Linked DNA regions of Saccharomyces cerevisiae S288C. Changing the gene in region 3 together with the main gene of any one other region gives a genetic interaction. Each region holds a gene or a part of one and is shown on either strand. Other genes may lie near its edges.

Evidence for each region.
Region 1: mutations in ILV6 (region 3) and FLX1 together harm fitness more than expected from each alone (negative genetic interaction), as found in Saccharomyces cerevisiae (3 studies listed by BioGRID).
Region 2: of ILV6 (region 3) and ILV3, changing one suppresses a phenotype caused by changing the other (phenotypic suppression), as found in Saccharomyces cerevisiae (one study listed by BioGRID).
Region 4: mutations in ILV6 (region 3) and COQ11 together harm fitness more than expected from each alone (negative genetic interaction), as found in Saccharomyces cerevisiae (2 studies listed by BioGRID).

Annotation. Positions count from the first base shown.
Region 1 is NC_001141.2:95,419-98,938, reverse strand, and holds FLX1 (flavin adenine dinucleotide transporter FLX1), read right to left. Parts: upstream 1,545-3,520; coding exon 609-1,544; downstream 1-608. Other genes in the region: 60S ribosomal protein uL13 RPL16A, read left to right, coding at 1-412; YIL134C-A (uncharacterized protein), read left to right, coding at 2,214-2,417; VHS2 (Vhs2p), read left to right, coding at 2,564-3,520. UniProt on the Saccharomyces cerevisiae protein: Transport of FAD from the cytosol to the mitochondrial matrix.
Region 2 is NC_001142.9:463,658-468,059, reverse strand, and holds ILV3 (dihydroxy-acid dehydratase ILV3), read left to right. Parts: upstream 1-1,851; coding exon 1,852-3,609; downstream 3,610-4,402. Other genes in the region: TES1 (palmitoyl-CoA hydrolase), read left to right, coding at 1-828; peptidylprolyl isomerase ESS1, read left to right, coding at 1,027-1,539; YJR015W (uncharacterized protein), read right to left, coding at 3,807-4,402. UniProt on the Saccharomyces cerevisiae protein: Dihydroxyacid dehydratase that catalyzes the third step in the common pathway leading to biosynthesis of branched-chain amino acids.
Region 3 is NC_001135.5:103,816-107,344, forward strand, and holds ILV6 (acetolactate synthase regulatory subunit), read right to left. Parts: upstream 1,734-3,529; coding exon 804-1,733; downstream 1-803. Other genes in the region: SGF29 (Sgf29p), read right to left, coding at 1-535; ubiquitin-binding ESCRT-I subunit protein STP22, read right to left, coding at 1,881-3,038; VMA9 (H(+)-transporting V0 sector ATPase subunit e), read left to right, coding at 3,208-3,218, 3,296-3,376, 3,473-3,529. UniProt on the Saccharomyces cerevisiae protein: Regulatory subunit of mitochondrial acetolactate synthase, which catalyzes the first of a series of common steps in the biosynthesis of the branched-chain amino acids.
Region 4 is NC_001144.5:716,618-719,937, forward strand, and holds COQ11 (ubiquinone biosynthesis protein COQ11), read right to left. Parts: upstream 1,362-3,320; coding exon 528-1,361; downstream 1-527. Other genes in the region: GTPase GUF1, read left to right, coding at 1-409; GCD7 (translation initiation factor eIF2B subunit beta), read right to left, coding at 1,700-2,845; Sec63 complex subunit SEC72, read right to left, coding at 3,172-3,320. UniProt on the Saccharomyces cerevisiae protein: Component of MIOREX complexes, large expressome-like assemblies of ribosomes with factors involved in all the steps of post-transcriptional gene expression. Component of a multi-subunit COQ enzyme complex required for coenzyme Q biosynthesis.

The DNA.
Region 1 (3,520 bases), on a different chromosome or scaffold from region 3:
TTTCAATAAGACCCGTGGTCCATTCCATTTCAGAGCCCCATCTAGAATCTTCTACAAAGCTCTTCGTGGTATGGTTTCTCACAAGACTGCTCGTGGTAAGGCCGCTTTGGAACGTTTAAAGGTCTTTGAAGGTATCCCACCTCCATACGATAAGAAGAAGAGAGTTGTTGTCCCACAAGCATTGAGAGTTTTGAGATTGAAGCCAGGTAGAAAGTACACCACCTTGGGTAAGTTGTCTACTTCCGTTGGTTGGAAATACGAAGATGTTGTTGCCAAATTGGAAGCAAAGAGAAAGGTTTCATCCGCTGAATACTATGCCAAGAAGAGAGCTTTCACCAAGAAAGTTGCCTCTGCTAATGCTACTGCTGCTGAATCTGATGTTGCTAAACAATTAGCCGCTTTGGGTTACTAAGAAATTAAAAATAGTTTTTCTTTAATACTTTACATTTTGTAATATAATCACAAATATTTTTTAGAAATAATAAAAACCAAAGAAACCATTCCTCCCCGTTACAGTTTAGATTACCTCCCCTTTTTCTTTCGTACTTTTTATATTTTTATCGTTTGATATTTACAAGAAATTAAATCTATCATATAGCCTTTATTTACTAAAGCCTATGCTTAAGGTTCTCGTATACACAAAAGGTAATGCAAGTGGATGGAATGGCCCGTACTAAGTTTGCAGATAGGCCCTTATAAAGTCCAACAAAACCATCATTAGCAATGATTAATTTTATCAAAGGAAAGAGCCTAAATTTTTGCTCATTGGCCCTGAAACTTTGTAAGTTTGATTTCAATAATTGAAAAGGGTAAACCAAAGTGACGGAGACCATTTTTCCCAACGATGTGATTTCAATGGTTTCAAGATTTGTTAAATGGATGTCAAGCCCATTTTCCCTCTTCCGTCGCAATTTTCTTTGCTTTAAGGTATCGTAAACTGCAAAATATAAGGCACCTTGCGAAACACCAAACAGTGCGGGTACAAGGCCCTTCCATAGGCCCTGGAAGCCATCAGTTCGTAACAGTTGTTGGACACCGTTGTACATAGAAGTGTACGCTCCTTGGGCGCCTTTACTTGTAGACATTATCCTGGTCTTTATAACCCAGATAGGGTTTGTTAGGATAGCTGTCATCAACCCACTGGAAGCACCGGCAGACAAATAAATAAGCGAATTCATTTTGTGGTCGTTCCCAACACCTTTAAGCTGTGTTTCCCCTGGCTTTGCCACTGACTTGTATATCAATTCTTTCGTGACACCATATAAACCGAAATAAACTCCCCATGCAATGGCATTTCCAAACAAATTTATGCTTAATCCGCGATACAGTTCGTTCGTAACACTACGTCCACTATTCGCCGACGAACGTATAATCTCTTTGATTACCATAAATGGGCCGTAATGGGCCTTTTGTGCGCTTGTAGCGGATAATTGCAAACGAACCTTCAGTAAATCTAATGGATGCACTACCAATGTGGTGACGGATCCCGCGGACAGACCTGAGATAACCTCCTTCTGCAGTGGCGTCCACTGGTGATCGACCATATTATCAAGAGCTTCCTGCTGCGTGCTGGTTTTGCAAAGTACAAAGACAAGATATTGTACATATTCCTATGAAAGCTACTGCTCTTCACGTACTCCTTCACTTTTTTTTTTTCAGTTTAAGTTTTCCAATTTTTTTGTAAGATGAACCTTTCAGCAAATCTGTTAAGAGTCAATTTCCTCGGTAAGAAATATAAAATATAAATGAATATAGATTATAAAACAGACTGTACTTAAACAGCCCCCGTCAATACGATAACGCAGTAAAATAAATGCTCATCATGATAAATCCAACAAAAAAATAAACGGAAGGAAACTGAAAAGAAAAAAAAAGGAAACGAAGAAAAACATAATTTATCGTTTGATAGCAGTAAGTCGCAGATCAAGTCGCGCCTGTATCCTTACAAACATGACGACATTGAGCTGTACAAAGCTATGACCAACCGTTCCATAATTAACTCTTTTCAACACATTGAAAATAAGACTTCCCCCATCGAAGCATCAAGTTCTTGCATGTCACAAGATACTTGATCGTAACCTCCTGAAGGTCCCTTTCAGAAACACATGGAGTGTAGTTTACTAGGAAGGAAGAAGAGACATCGAAAACTTTTTCACTTTATATAGGTGAGAAAAATGGTGCAAGAGAGCATGACCGTGTATGGTGACATATAAATGGTTGTTGGCAGCGAATTTAACAACACTGCAGATGTAGATGTCGTAGCTATCCTTCTCACGTTGTTGAATGCTGACTATTTTGTTATTAAGCAACGCCTTGTTAGTGCTTGTTTTACAAAGCGTATTAAATGGTATTTTATTTATGCTATCGCTTTATTATCTTTATTTTCATCACGTAACACGGTGTGTGCGCCATATTAATGTTGCAACAGTCGTGAGGTGATTAACAAACAGTATCAGACTAAACTCACCCTTTGGTGATATGCAATTTCTTGAGGCGCAAAAGGTTGATCCTGAAAGCTTTTGTGATAGACTACCTTCAAGCAAAGCGAACGTAAACGGCAAAGATGGATACCAGCAACCACAACCAAGACCACGACTCCCACGTGGCGGCACAGAGGGAGAACGACAATAATTATATGCCACCTTCCCCCTCCATGAGCGAGAGTTCTATGATTTTTGAAAGAAATGTAGAGGACCCATCATACCTTTATAAAACGGTGTCAAACAACGCTGCAAACTCTCTCTCTAGGCAGAGCAGCAGGACCAGTTTGTTCAATCATAATAATTCTAGTAATAGGAACTTCCATAACTTAAGCCAGAGATCGTCTGCTGTGAATCTACATTTGCAACCTTCTAGGACTAATGAGTCAATAGCATCGTACCAGACATACAATCCGGATTTTGTTGTGCAGACTCCACTGGATCACCGTCGTACCTTAGAGAATTTCGTCCCTCCTGCATTAGACGCTGGCTGTTCTATTGTAACTGACGACACGACTGGCCTTGATGACGTTGATATGGTTTATTCGAGAAGGCCATCTACCATCGGCCTGGATAGAGCCCTAGGTAGGACAAGAAGTCTTTCGTCACAATCTTTTGATAACGAAACGTCGCCTGCGCATCCAAGATCTCCCAACGACCATGGTTCAAGACTACTAAGGTTTTATTCCTACGCTGACATGTTGTCCGATGACAACAATAACAACGTTAGTAATGCGACATCAACATCATCAACTGCGAACCCCTTGAGAAGACCCCCAATGCAAGGTCACTACTCGTTCTCGTCGTCCCTTTTGAATTCTCCTTCTCATTTGCCTTCCCCCCCATCAGCTTCGGCATCACCACCTCAGCATATGAACTTCACCAACCCTTTCATCATATCTAGACGTTACTCTAACACAACGATCAACAATGCCAATGGGGGAACCAGCGCTGGAAGCACTACGGGGGCCGCACTATCAAGATCGCCATCGAACCAACAGTACTTACTTAAACAACAAAGGTCACCTTCAGGGAGCGCC
Region 2 (4,402 bases), on a different chromosome or scaffold from region 3:
GATCCGCGGACCAAGATCACGTACCATGTGCAGAATCTGAGAAACGGTAGAAATTTCATCCATAAGCAGGTTAGTGCTTATCAGCACGACAAGTTGATATTTACGTCGATGATCTTATTTGCCGTGCAACGGTCCAAGGAGCACGACTCCTTGCAGCACTGGGAGACGATTCCAGGCCTGCAAGGTAAGCAGCCAGACCCTCATCGTTATGAAGAGGCCACTTCGCTTTTCCAGAAAGAAGTTCTGGACCCACAGAAATTGAGCAGGTATGCCTCATTGTCCGACAGGTTCCAAGACGCAACCTCGATGAGCAAGTATGTGGATGCGTTTCAATACGGAGTCATGGAGTACCAATTCCCCAAGGACATGTTCTACTCGGCAAGACACACCGACGAGCTGGATTATTTCGTCAAAGTGAGACCTCCCATCACTACCGTGGAGCACGCGGGCGACGAGTCTTCTTTACACAAGCATCATCCGTACAGGATCCCGAAGAGCATTACTCCTGAGAACGACGCTCGCTACAACTACGTGGCCTTTGCGTATCTGTCCGATTCCTACCTCCTACTCACGATCCCGTACTTCCACAACCTGCCTTTGTACTGCCACAGTTTCAGTGTCTCGCTCGACCACACGATTTACTTTCACCAGTTGCCTCATGTGAACAATTGGATCTATCTTAAGATTTCGAATCCCAGGTCCCACTGGGACAAGCACCTCGTACAGGGCAAGTATTTCGACACACAGTCGGGACGCATCATGGCAAGCGTCTCTCAGGAGGGCTACGTTGTCTACGGGTCAGAACGAGACATTCGAGCCAAGTTCTGAGGACAATTCCCTCCCACGTATAAACACATACATATATATTCTTATATTATATAATAATATCCTATTTATTATTACATCACCTTTCACGAGCGGGTATCATACCTTTTTCCCTTCGATCTAAGTAGAAAAAGGACCTGAATGATCATTGTGGTACTTATTCCCACGCATAACCGACTACGGCACCACAACGACGCACCAATGCCATCTGACGTAGCATCGAGGACCGGGCTGCCAACCCCGTGGACCGTCAGGTATAGTAAGTCCAAGAAAAGAGAGTATTTTTTCAATCCAGAGACGAAGCACTCGCAATGGGAGGAGCCTGAGGGCACCAACAAGGACCAGCTACACAAGCACTTAAGAGACCATCCAGTGCGTGTAAGATGCCTGCACATTCTCATCAAGCACAAGGATTCAAGAAGACCCGCATCGCATAGATCCGAGAACATTACGATATCCAAGCAAGACGCTACGGACGAACTGAAAACCTTAATCACGAGGTTGGATGACGACTCTAAGACGAACTCCTTCGAGGCCCTGGCTAAAGAGAGATCAGATTGCTCTTCATACAAGCGAGGCGGCGACCTCGGCTGGTTCGGGAGAGGCGAGATGCAGCCTAGCTTTGAAGACGCTGCCTTCCAGCTCAAGGTCGGCGAGGTAAGCGATATCGTTGAATCAGGAAGCGGTGTTCATGTGATCAAGCGGGTAGGTTAGGTTGGCATTTGCTTCTCCACCTCACCTTTTTATGTTCTTATTCCCTCTTGTATCCATTCCGTCCTCGCTGAACCCATGAAAAGAAAAAAAATTAACTAGTCACATAGTTAAATGGCGCTGTTCTTCGCTGCGAGCGGAACCGGGCCTGAAAAAAAATTTTCTCTTTTCCTCTCCAGATGACTCAGTAATATAGTAGTATATTATATAATGTAACAAAAGAAGAGACTGAAGTTTTATTATGCATTGTAGCGCCTGTAATCTTTAGTAACGGATTCTTGTATTTTTTTGTAAACAGCCAAGAAAAAAGTAGAGATGGGCTTGTTAACGAAAGTTGCTACATCTAGACAATTCTCTACAACGAGATGCGTTGCAAAGAAGCTCAACAAGTACTCGTATATCATCACTGAACCTAAGGGCCAAGGTGCGTCCCAGGCCATGCTTTATGCCACCGGTTTCAAGAAGGAAGATTTCAAGAAGCCTCAAGTCGGGGTTGGTTCCTGTTGGTGGTCCGGTAACCCATGTAACATGCATCTATTGGACTTGAATAACAGATGTTCTCAATCCATTGAAAAAGCGGGTTTGAAAGCTATGCAGTTCAACACCATCGGTGTTTCAGACGGTATCTCTATGGGTACTAAAGGTATGAGATACTCGTTACAAAGTAGAGAAATCATTGCAGACTCCTTTGAAACCATCATGATGGCACAACACTACGATGCTAACATCGCCATCCCATCATGTGACAAAAACATGCCCGGTGTCATGATGGCCATGGGTAGACATAACAGACCTTCCATCATGGTATATGGTGGTACTATCTTGCCCGGTCATCCAACATGTGGTTCTTCGAAGATCTCTAAAAACATCGATATCGTCTCTGCGTTCCAATCCTACGGTGAATATATTTCCAAGCAATTCACTGAAGAAGAAAGAGAAGATGTTGTGGAACATGCATGCCCAGGTCCTGGTTCTTGTGGTGGTATGTATACTGCCAACACAATGGCTTCTGCCGCTGAAGTGCTAGGTTTGACCATTCCAAACTCCTCTTCCTTCCCAGCCGTTTCCAAGGAGAAGTTAGCTGAGTGTGACAACATTGGTGAATACATCAAGAAGACAATGGAATTGGGTATTTTACCTCGTGATATCCTCACAAAAGAGGCTTTTGAAAACGCCATTACTTATGTCGTTGCAACCGGTGGGTCCACTAATGCTGTTTTGCATTTGGTGGCTGTTGCTCACTCTGCGGGTGTCAAGTTGTCACCAGATGATTTCCAAAGAATCAGTGATACTACACCATTGATCGGTGACTTCAAACCTTCTGGTAAATACGTCATGGCCGATTTGATTAACGTTGGTGGTACCCAATCTGTGATTAAGTATCTATATGAAAACAACATGTTGCACGGTAACACAATGACTGTTACCGGTGACACTTTGGCAGAACGTGCAAAGAAAGCACCAAGCCTACCTGAAGGACAAGAGATTATTAAGCCACTCTCCCACCCAATCAAGGCCAACGGTCACTTGCAAATTCTGTACGGTTCATTGGCACCAGGTGGAGCTGTGGGTAAAATTACCGGTAAGGAAGGTACTTACTTCAAGGGTAGAGCACGTGTGTTCGAAGAGGAAGGTGCCTTTATTGAAGCCTTGGAAAGAGGTGAAATCAAGAAGGGTGAAAAAACCGTTGTTGTTATCAGATATGAAGGTCCAAGAGGTGCACCAGGTATGCCTGAAATGCTAAAGCCTTCCTCTGCTCTGATGGGTTACGGTTTGGGTAAAGATGTTGCATTGTTGACTGATGGTAGATTCTCTGGTGGTTCTCACGGGTTCTTAATCGGCCACATTGTTCCCGAAGCCGCTGAAGGTGGTCCTATCGGGTTGGTCAGAGACGGCGATGAGATTATCATTGATGCTGATAATAACAAGATTGACCTATTAGTCTCTGATAAGGAAATGGCTCAACGTAAACAAAGTTGGGTTGCACCTCCACCTCGTTACACAAGAGGTACTCTATCCAAGTATGCTAAGTTGGTTTCCAACGCTTCCAACGGTTGTGTTTTAGATGCTTGATGCATTATAGGCCCCAATCGATGAATATATATATAGAGATTCTCCTTTTCCATCATCTTTTTTGTTCGCAATCTTTTCATATATATATATATATAAATATTTATTATAGTCCATTGAATGGATAAACATTTATTTAAAAAAAAACAACGATCAGTATTTTTTTATTTGAAAAGTCGCCTTAATTATAATCTACGAAATTAACTCTGCTTTGCTGCCACTAAAGCCTTCTGTTTTAGTTTTCTACTAGCATACTTGCCAACAAATGGTAACAGTGCCGTATTCAAGGCAATGAGTGCGACTAAAATACCATAATTCCGACCCATCTTGCGTCTTGTCACGTCAAAAAAAATAACCCTGTAGATATCGATGACGTTGTGAACGGGCATCATGTACCCATATCTATAAACATTATTGTTTAGCGCTAATGGGAAGAAAGAAGGTGCAATATTGAGAATGACAAATGATAGGATCCAGAACCCGAGATACTGGGGTCCTAACGTAATAACAAGCATAACCGCATTTTCGTTAGCTCCTCCCGCAGCAAGCATGAAGAGCCACGTAGACATCCAATATACGACGAAGCCACCTCTACCAAAGGACTTGGTAAAATCGACTTGAAAGATGGCGGTTGTTGTGCAGAAGAACAAAGACGCAAAGAAAAAGGTGAACCATGACATAGCGATACGGTAAATTAAACCGTTGGCTGGTCTTAGCACTTTTGCCATTTCTACGTGTAATGGGCCGTACAATAGAAATTGGAAAAAAGTTAGCAGTAAACAGTAAACAACACCGA
Region 3 (3,529 bases):
TACATTTATACACCTTGCCTGAGTTGCCCAATTCATCAGGTTCAGGATCTCTCACTTCAAATCGTGTACCATCTGCTACGACTTTGAGTACTTCACACTGTATCCATTCGCCGTCGGCACTGCCCCTTCTGGGCTTATAGGCAACCTCTGAGCCCACCAAAATAGGTGCATTTGGGTTGTATTCGCTGGTCCAGTACGATCTGCCAACTTTCCCCACAGCTTTCTTGCCCTGCGACAATGCCATGCGTGTCCCTTCTCCTTCTTCTGCATCTTCAGTATTTTCCTCACTCTTTTCCTCTCGTGACTGATTCAACATCAACGACAAATTGGAACGTACATTGTCAAGGATTCGGTGCACTCTGTTGACGTTTTCCATGTGTTCTTGGAAAGTGTTGAGATGCAATTGCAGCTGATCCTTTGACATATTAAGGAAATTTAGTTTTTTTGTTTGCAGCTCATCATCAAAGGGAATGACCTCGTTGGCATTGTATATGTCTTGCAAGGACGACACTACAACATCCCAATATCCGTCCATAATAAGAAAGGTGACCGTGTGTTTTGCTGTGAAAAACTCCCCCCACTTAGAGAAGCCACCAAGGTATTGTGTCTTTAACCTTTTTCGTATCTGGCAAAATCGAAGAGGAAAGCAGAAAACCAAAAGAAAAAAATAGTTTAGTAACGCGTCACCTCGTACAAACGTACAATCATAGCAACTTATGAGTAAATAGGCTCATGGTTATAGATACGTTATATAGATGTATAGAGGAGAGTCCCGAGGGCGATCGCAAGGCCGAGAGACTAACCTAACCAGGTGGTAGTTGGGAAATGTCGACGATTTCGCTGATCTTTTCGTCTTCGTCGGCAGCTTCCTCGGTGCTTGTCTTCAAAGGAGTTCTTGGCAATGCCATCATACCGCTTCTTGCACACTCTAGGACACCGAATGGCTCGACCAACTTCAAGAAGGCAGAGATACGTGTGGGTTTTGCAGACAACTCCACAATACAGCTTGTTTCGCTGATGTCGACGACACGACCTCCAAAGTTGTTGGTCAAGTTGGTGATATCGTTCAAATGCTCGTGCTTCAACCTTAATACCTCACTGGCGGGCAAGTTGGCAGGGTGGAATTGCTTTTCTCTGATTTCGGCGACCAATTCTTGGGAGTCAGCGGCGCCAGCATTGGTGGAAGTGTGGTGGTGCAATAGTAGGTCTTCGAAGTATTCAGTACCCAATAGAGAGATTCTGGCCATCACTAGCTCTCTTTTGATGATCTCAGAATTGGTATAGTCTAGGACGGCGTAGACGGGGACCAAGTCTTCGATTTGTCTGCGTGCTTGTTCGACTACGCCATCTTGCCCTTGCAAAACAATGGTCATTCTACTTAGGTCTTTGACCTCGGTGTTGCACACGACCAACGAATCGATGTTAAAGCCTCTGGCAGCTAACGTACCCGAGACTCTGGACAAGACACCGGGTTCGTTTTGCACCAAACAGTTCAAGACATGCTGTTTTCTTGGTTGACGAGAAGGCGCTGGTGTTTCGTAAATGATGGATGAAACGGCACTGTTGGCATTCCAGGAAGGAGTGTCTAGTGTGGGCAAGGGAGGTCTTGTTGCGTGTCTGTGCATCTGCTTGTACGCCAACGCGGAGGTCGACGAGGAACTGCAACGCACCATGGTAGCACATGAAGAAGCAACCACCCTGCGGTGGCCGCTTTGCAATAACGATCTCAGCATTAGAAAGACTGGGTTAGTGAGCTCAGATGTTCTAAAGATTCTGTATATACGAACTATGTACTTCCATATATACCATTCCCCGTTCTTGTTAGGTAAAGGTTAAAAAAATATTTTTTATGGCACTTCGGCGATGCGAAAGAAAGTGAGTCACGATAACGGTGAGGTGATTCGTTGGATGTGCCATCGCACAAGGAATTGCTGGCGTGCTAATTCACGACCTTGCTTGACAAAAGTATCGAGGGGAATGGTGCCACGGTGCAGCATCCTAGATAAGCACTCAATGGTGTCCGTGAGAGCGTAGTCCTGGGCAACGAGGTTGTATAGTTGATTGAGTCCATCTGTTTTGGCCACTGCTATGGAGTTCACGTCCTCGTCATCCACATGCGAAGTTGAGCTAAACTGTTGGACTTTGGCCCTATTTGCGGTCAGGACGTCTATCTGTGCGTTTAGCGAGTGCATGGTCTGCTCAATAGCCTGCTCAACGGCTCGTAAATGGTTCTTGTCGATGGCGATTATTTCATGGAATCTGGCAATTGATTCTTGCATGACGGTCTGTCTCGTCAGTATCTTGTCCGCTACATAGTCCACATCCTCTCTGTATAACTCATTGACTACGGTTTGTAGATTTTGTAGCATTTCATGATGGTTGGTTGGGGAGATATCCGTGTTGTCCATGTCCATAAGGTCGAGTGCGTTAGATGCCGGTTGAGGTGGTGGAGGTGGAGGCAATGGCGGTTTTAGGTGTGGAGACTTGGGCTTTGGGGGCAGTGGGGGAGTATTCTGCTCCTGCTGGAGCTGCGTATTGGGCTTAGGGGGTAGACTGGGCGCCTGATCTTGTGGCGGCTCGTGTAAGAGACTCATTAATTCTTGTACGACCATTATAAGGTTCATCGCGGCAGGATCCCAGCAGTGGAGTATGGGCAGCGCAATCCACCCATTGGAGTCGATGTATTCTTGAATGGGCAAGGAACTACTGATGGTGTTCATGTCGAAATTTTCCAAGTTTATACTTATAAAGGGAGGTTTTACCGGGTACATACTGGGTACCCACATGATCACAGGAATACTGTGAGGAGATGAACCATCCTCACCAGTACTAATGGTACCATATATGGACAACAGTAGTTGTGGAGTGCCGTCAGAGTGCGTAAATACCCTTGTTCTTGGCCTTAAACTGTGAAAATTGTCCAGCAGCGCTAAAGAATCGTGGAAAGTTGTTCTTCCGTCGTTATAAATGGGTTGAATGACTTTGAACAGCCAATTGACCACCGCCTCGGGAACAGAGATCTTGCCGTTTGCAGACATCGTTGCTCTTCACTCTCTCTCTTTTCTTGGCCGTTAAGATACCAACTGCCCACAAAATTTTGCCGTAACTTTTTATTCTCGCTCTGTGAAAAAAGACTACTACATTTTTTGACCTTTTATCTATACTTTAAGAAACAAAGGTCCAACGAATAATAAAGAACAAAGAGTAATGAGTAGTTTGTATGTGTCATAATCTCTTCTCTCCGCTTCCCTTTTCTTCCTTCTTCTTCTACTAACTCTCTGCGCGTCCAATTTAGCTATACTGTTGTTGGTGTATTCATAGTGGTTAGTGCCATGTCCGTGCTGTTCTGGATAATGGCTCCAAAGAACAACCAAGCGTATGTGCAACATTTTTTTTACGATGTGTCTCCATATTACTAGTTTCCCTTTCTTTTTTACTAACAAGAGTTTGTTTGTTTTGTTTTGTCGTACAGTGTTTGGAGAAGTACAGTGATTTTGACATTGGCCATGATGTTTTTGATGTGGGCCAT
Region 4 (3,320 bases), on a different chromosome or scaffold from region 3:
ATCGGTGTCCAGAGGATTTGCCTCTTTAGATTATGAGGATGCTGGCTATAGAATTTCTGATGTTGTAAAACTGCAACTCTTGGTTAATGGAAATGCGATTGATGCCTTGTCAAGAGTACTTCATAAATCGGAAGTAGAGAGAGTGGGTAGAGAATGGGTGAAGAAGTTTAAAGAGTATGTTAAATCACAATTATATGAGGTCGTTATACAGGCCCGAGCTAATAACAAGATAATAGCTAGAGAAACAATTAAGGCAAGAAGAAAAGATGTTCTCCAAAAGCTGCATGCTTCTGATGTCTCACGAAGGAAAAAACTTTTGGCGAAACAGAAAGAGGGTAAAAAGCATATGAAAACTGTAGGTAATATTCAAATCAACCAAGAGGCATATCAGGCTTTTTTGCGCCGTTAGCATTGCATATTATTGTTATTACCATTTTAAAATTATACCAAGCTGTATATAGTTAAGTACTTTTCATTTGTAAATAAAAGAGAAAAATAGATTAATAAATATAATAATGGCATAATCATTATGCTTTAAGTATTTCCTCAAGTGTAACTACCCCTTTAAAATCTGGGTTTTCGATATTTTTCAGGACGGATTTGCTTACCTGCTGAGTGGATACTGTTGGCCTAATCAAGTCGTTCAAAAGCTGCAGCTTATTTCTCAATAGAAATTTGTTACCGCAGTAAAGTAGTTCAAGTGCAGTATGAATAAAAGACCGTGGTCCAATTGCATTTCTGTGCTCATCGAACATAAAACCGGGTCTCACAATAATAGGCCTGAAATATCTCTGCATTTTTTCTAGTTCAATCTCCGCCTCTCTTTTCGAATTAATATAGCCACTAGGAATCAATGGGAAACCTTTATCGGCGGAAATATACGTAAAAGATCTTTGATTTGCTTTTTCTTGCTCCTTTTTGCTTTTCTTTAGGATTTTTTGTTTAAATGTATCTGCCAAAATAATAGCACTTTGCTTATTCATCATTTCATAAGTAAAATAAGGACTGCTTTTTTTTAAAGGATTTGGACCTGCACCAAAAGATAGAAGGCGTGATTTTGAATCATATGTAGGGGATTTGGATAGAGTTTGCTTATAATTTTCATTTTCTAGGAGGATTCCCAAAGAATGAACTACGTTAGTAGCATTATTCAATAATTCATGGTAAGAATCAGGCTTAAAAATGTCAGCAGCGGTCCATTGGACCTCCTGCATCCATTGCTTATCATTTAATTCATTGCTATGAGGAGCTTTACCGGACCTTGACACAGAAACGACTTGGTAGCCCGAAGTCACTGCTTCTTGACAAATTCTTTTACCTAAAAATCCATTGCCTCCAAAAACTATAAGCTTTGGTATCATTTTCTACTTCAGTTCAAGCTTTAGCTGTATTTTTGTATACGATACATATTTCCCTTATTTTTTTATTTTTTCAATGTTTTCCTGTTTTTCTATTATGCAAAAGCGACAAGATGGCATTACGAGGAGACACTCAACTAAAAAAAAAAAATGAGTCAAATTGCCAGACTTTGTAGAGAAGTAAAAAGTTAATGCTAAGATGCTCTTTATGTATTAGTCTTTTAACATATTCAAGGATACGTAAATATTCTGATTATATACTAATAATTAATAATAAAAAAATTGTTTTGATCTACAAGATTTTTATTTATTTTCATGAGTAATGTACAAAAGACACATCATCACGCCTTATTTTTATCCAAATGCACATCAATTTGCTTGTAATTATCCCACGCAATACGATATATAAAACTTGGATTGAACCCACCGACGTTTGTAATGTAGATATCAATATTTTCAGGCGGAACATAATCGGTAATTTGATTAACTGTATCTAATCTTTTTCTTGGATCCATTCTAGGTAATATACGTTGGGACCCACCAAATTCGACAAACTTCTCTACGTCGAACGGATATAGAGGAGAAAGCTTATACAAACCTGCAACAGCAAATACAGGGGTTCTAAATTCTCGGGCGCATTCACAAACGGATGATACACCTGAATTTGACGAGATAGTCCCCCCATTGACAAAAACGGCTTTAGTGCCGATAATAACCTTACCCACACGGGACATTAAAGCAAAAACAGCTGAGTCTGGGACTACTAGGGTTTCTATGTTGTGCTGTGCTAATTTTTTGGCAAACTCATGTGCATTCTTGGTGTTATTAGGGAACCCCTCTGTAACTAAAACCGTAAATGTTCTATTACTACGTTCGCGAGCAGTAATCAGAAATTTTAATACGGTTTTTGAATCAGGTGTGGGAGTTAATAAAATCTCATGATCGTGAATCAAATCAATAGCAATTTGCTGAATACCTTCATCAATGTTTTTTATCTCATCTATAAGATCCTTGATACCCTGAATGGCTACTTGACGGTAATCAGTCTTGGTTTTCATACTAGAGCTCCCTGAACTATTTTTTCTATTCTGATGAGGTTGCTCCGGTTTCTGTAATAAATTAAACATAGAGGAAATCAAAGGTTCAGCAACGGATGTGGATGTGACAGTTGTGCTCATAGTGTCTTCTTCTACTTCATCCCTCAAAACAGCCAGTATTCTTCTAATTACGTTACCGCAACTGAAAGCAGTAGGATGAGCTTTTTCTAGACTATTACCTAAATCTCTGATTTGTTCAATAAGGTCATTAACATGGTTCCAACGAGCTGCAGAGATAAATCGCATTAACAGTTGTAAAGTTTCCAAGGCGATGGCGTATGAACCTTGCACTTGTCTTCTTTTTAACTTAGCAACGAAAGTGTCAATGGTAACATTCACATCAGATGTTGCCGCATTCGGATGTACTGAAGTGAATGCTTGAGAGGACATCTTATGTTGGGCAAAAGTTCGAAAGTTGGCGTGTTGTGTTTACTGGTTCCGCACGAGTAATGAATGGTCTGTTTCATTTATGAAGGTTTTTTCTATGTCCATTTTTTTTTTTCAGCATCACGAAGAAAAAAAGCTTGCGGTTGGGAAGCAGAGGTATCATATACTCAAGCTGTATAGTTCAAAGCCTTTCATAAAGGCTATTCCTTAGTATATATGATAATGGGCTTGCTATGTGTTTTTGAATCTATCTAAAATTTCTTGCTATGTAGTCGTGTGTAGCATAGAGACATATCAAGAAAAGGCTAAAATATCTTCGGTTATGCACCTTATTCACCGTTATATTCGGCCAGATTTCTTGCAGTTTCTATTAAAAGGGCTCTAAGTTTCATATCCTCTGGGGCTAAAGCTAAACCTCTCTCGCATGTTGCCCTAGCCTCTTCCCACTGTCTCAATTTTAGCAAACAGTCCGCCTTCC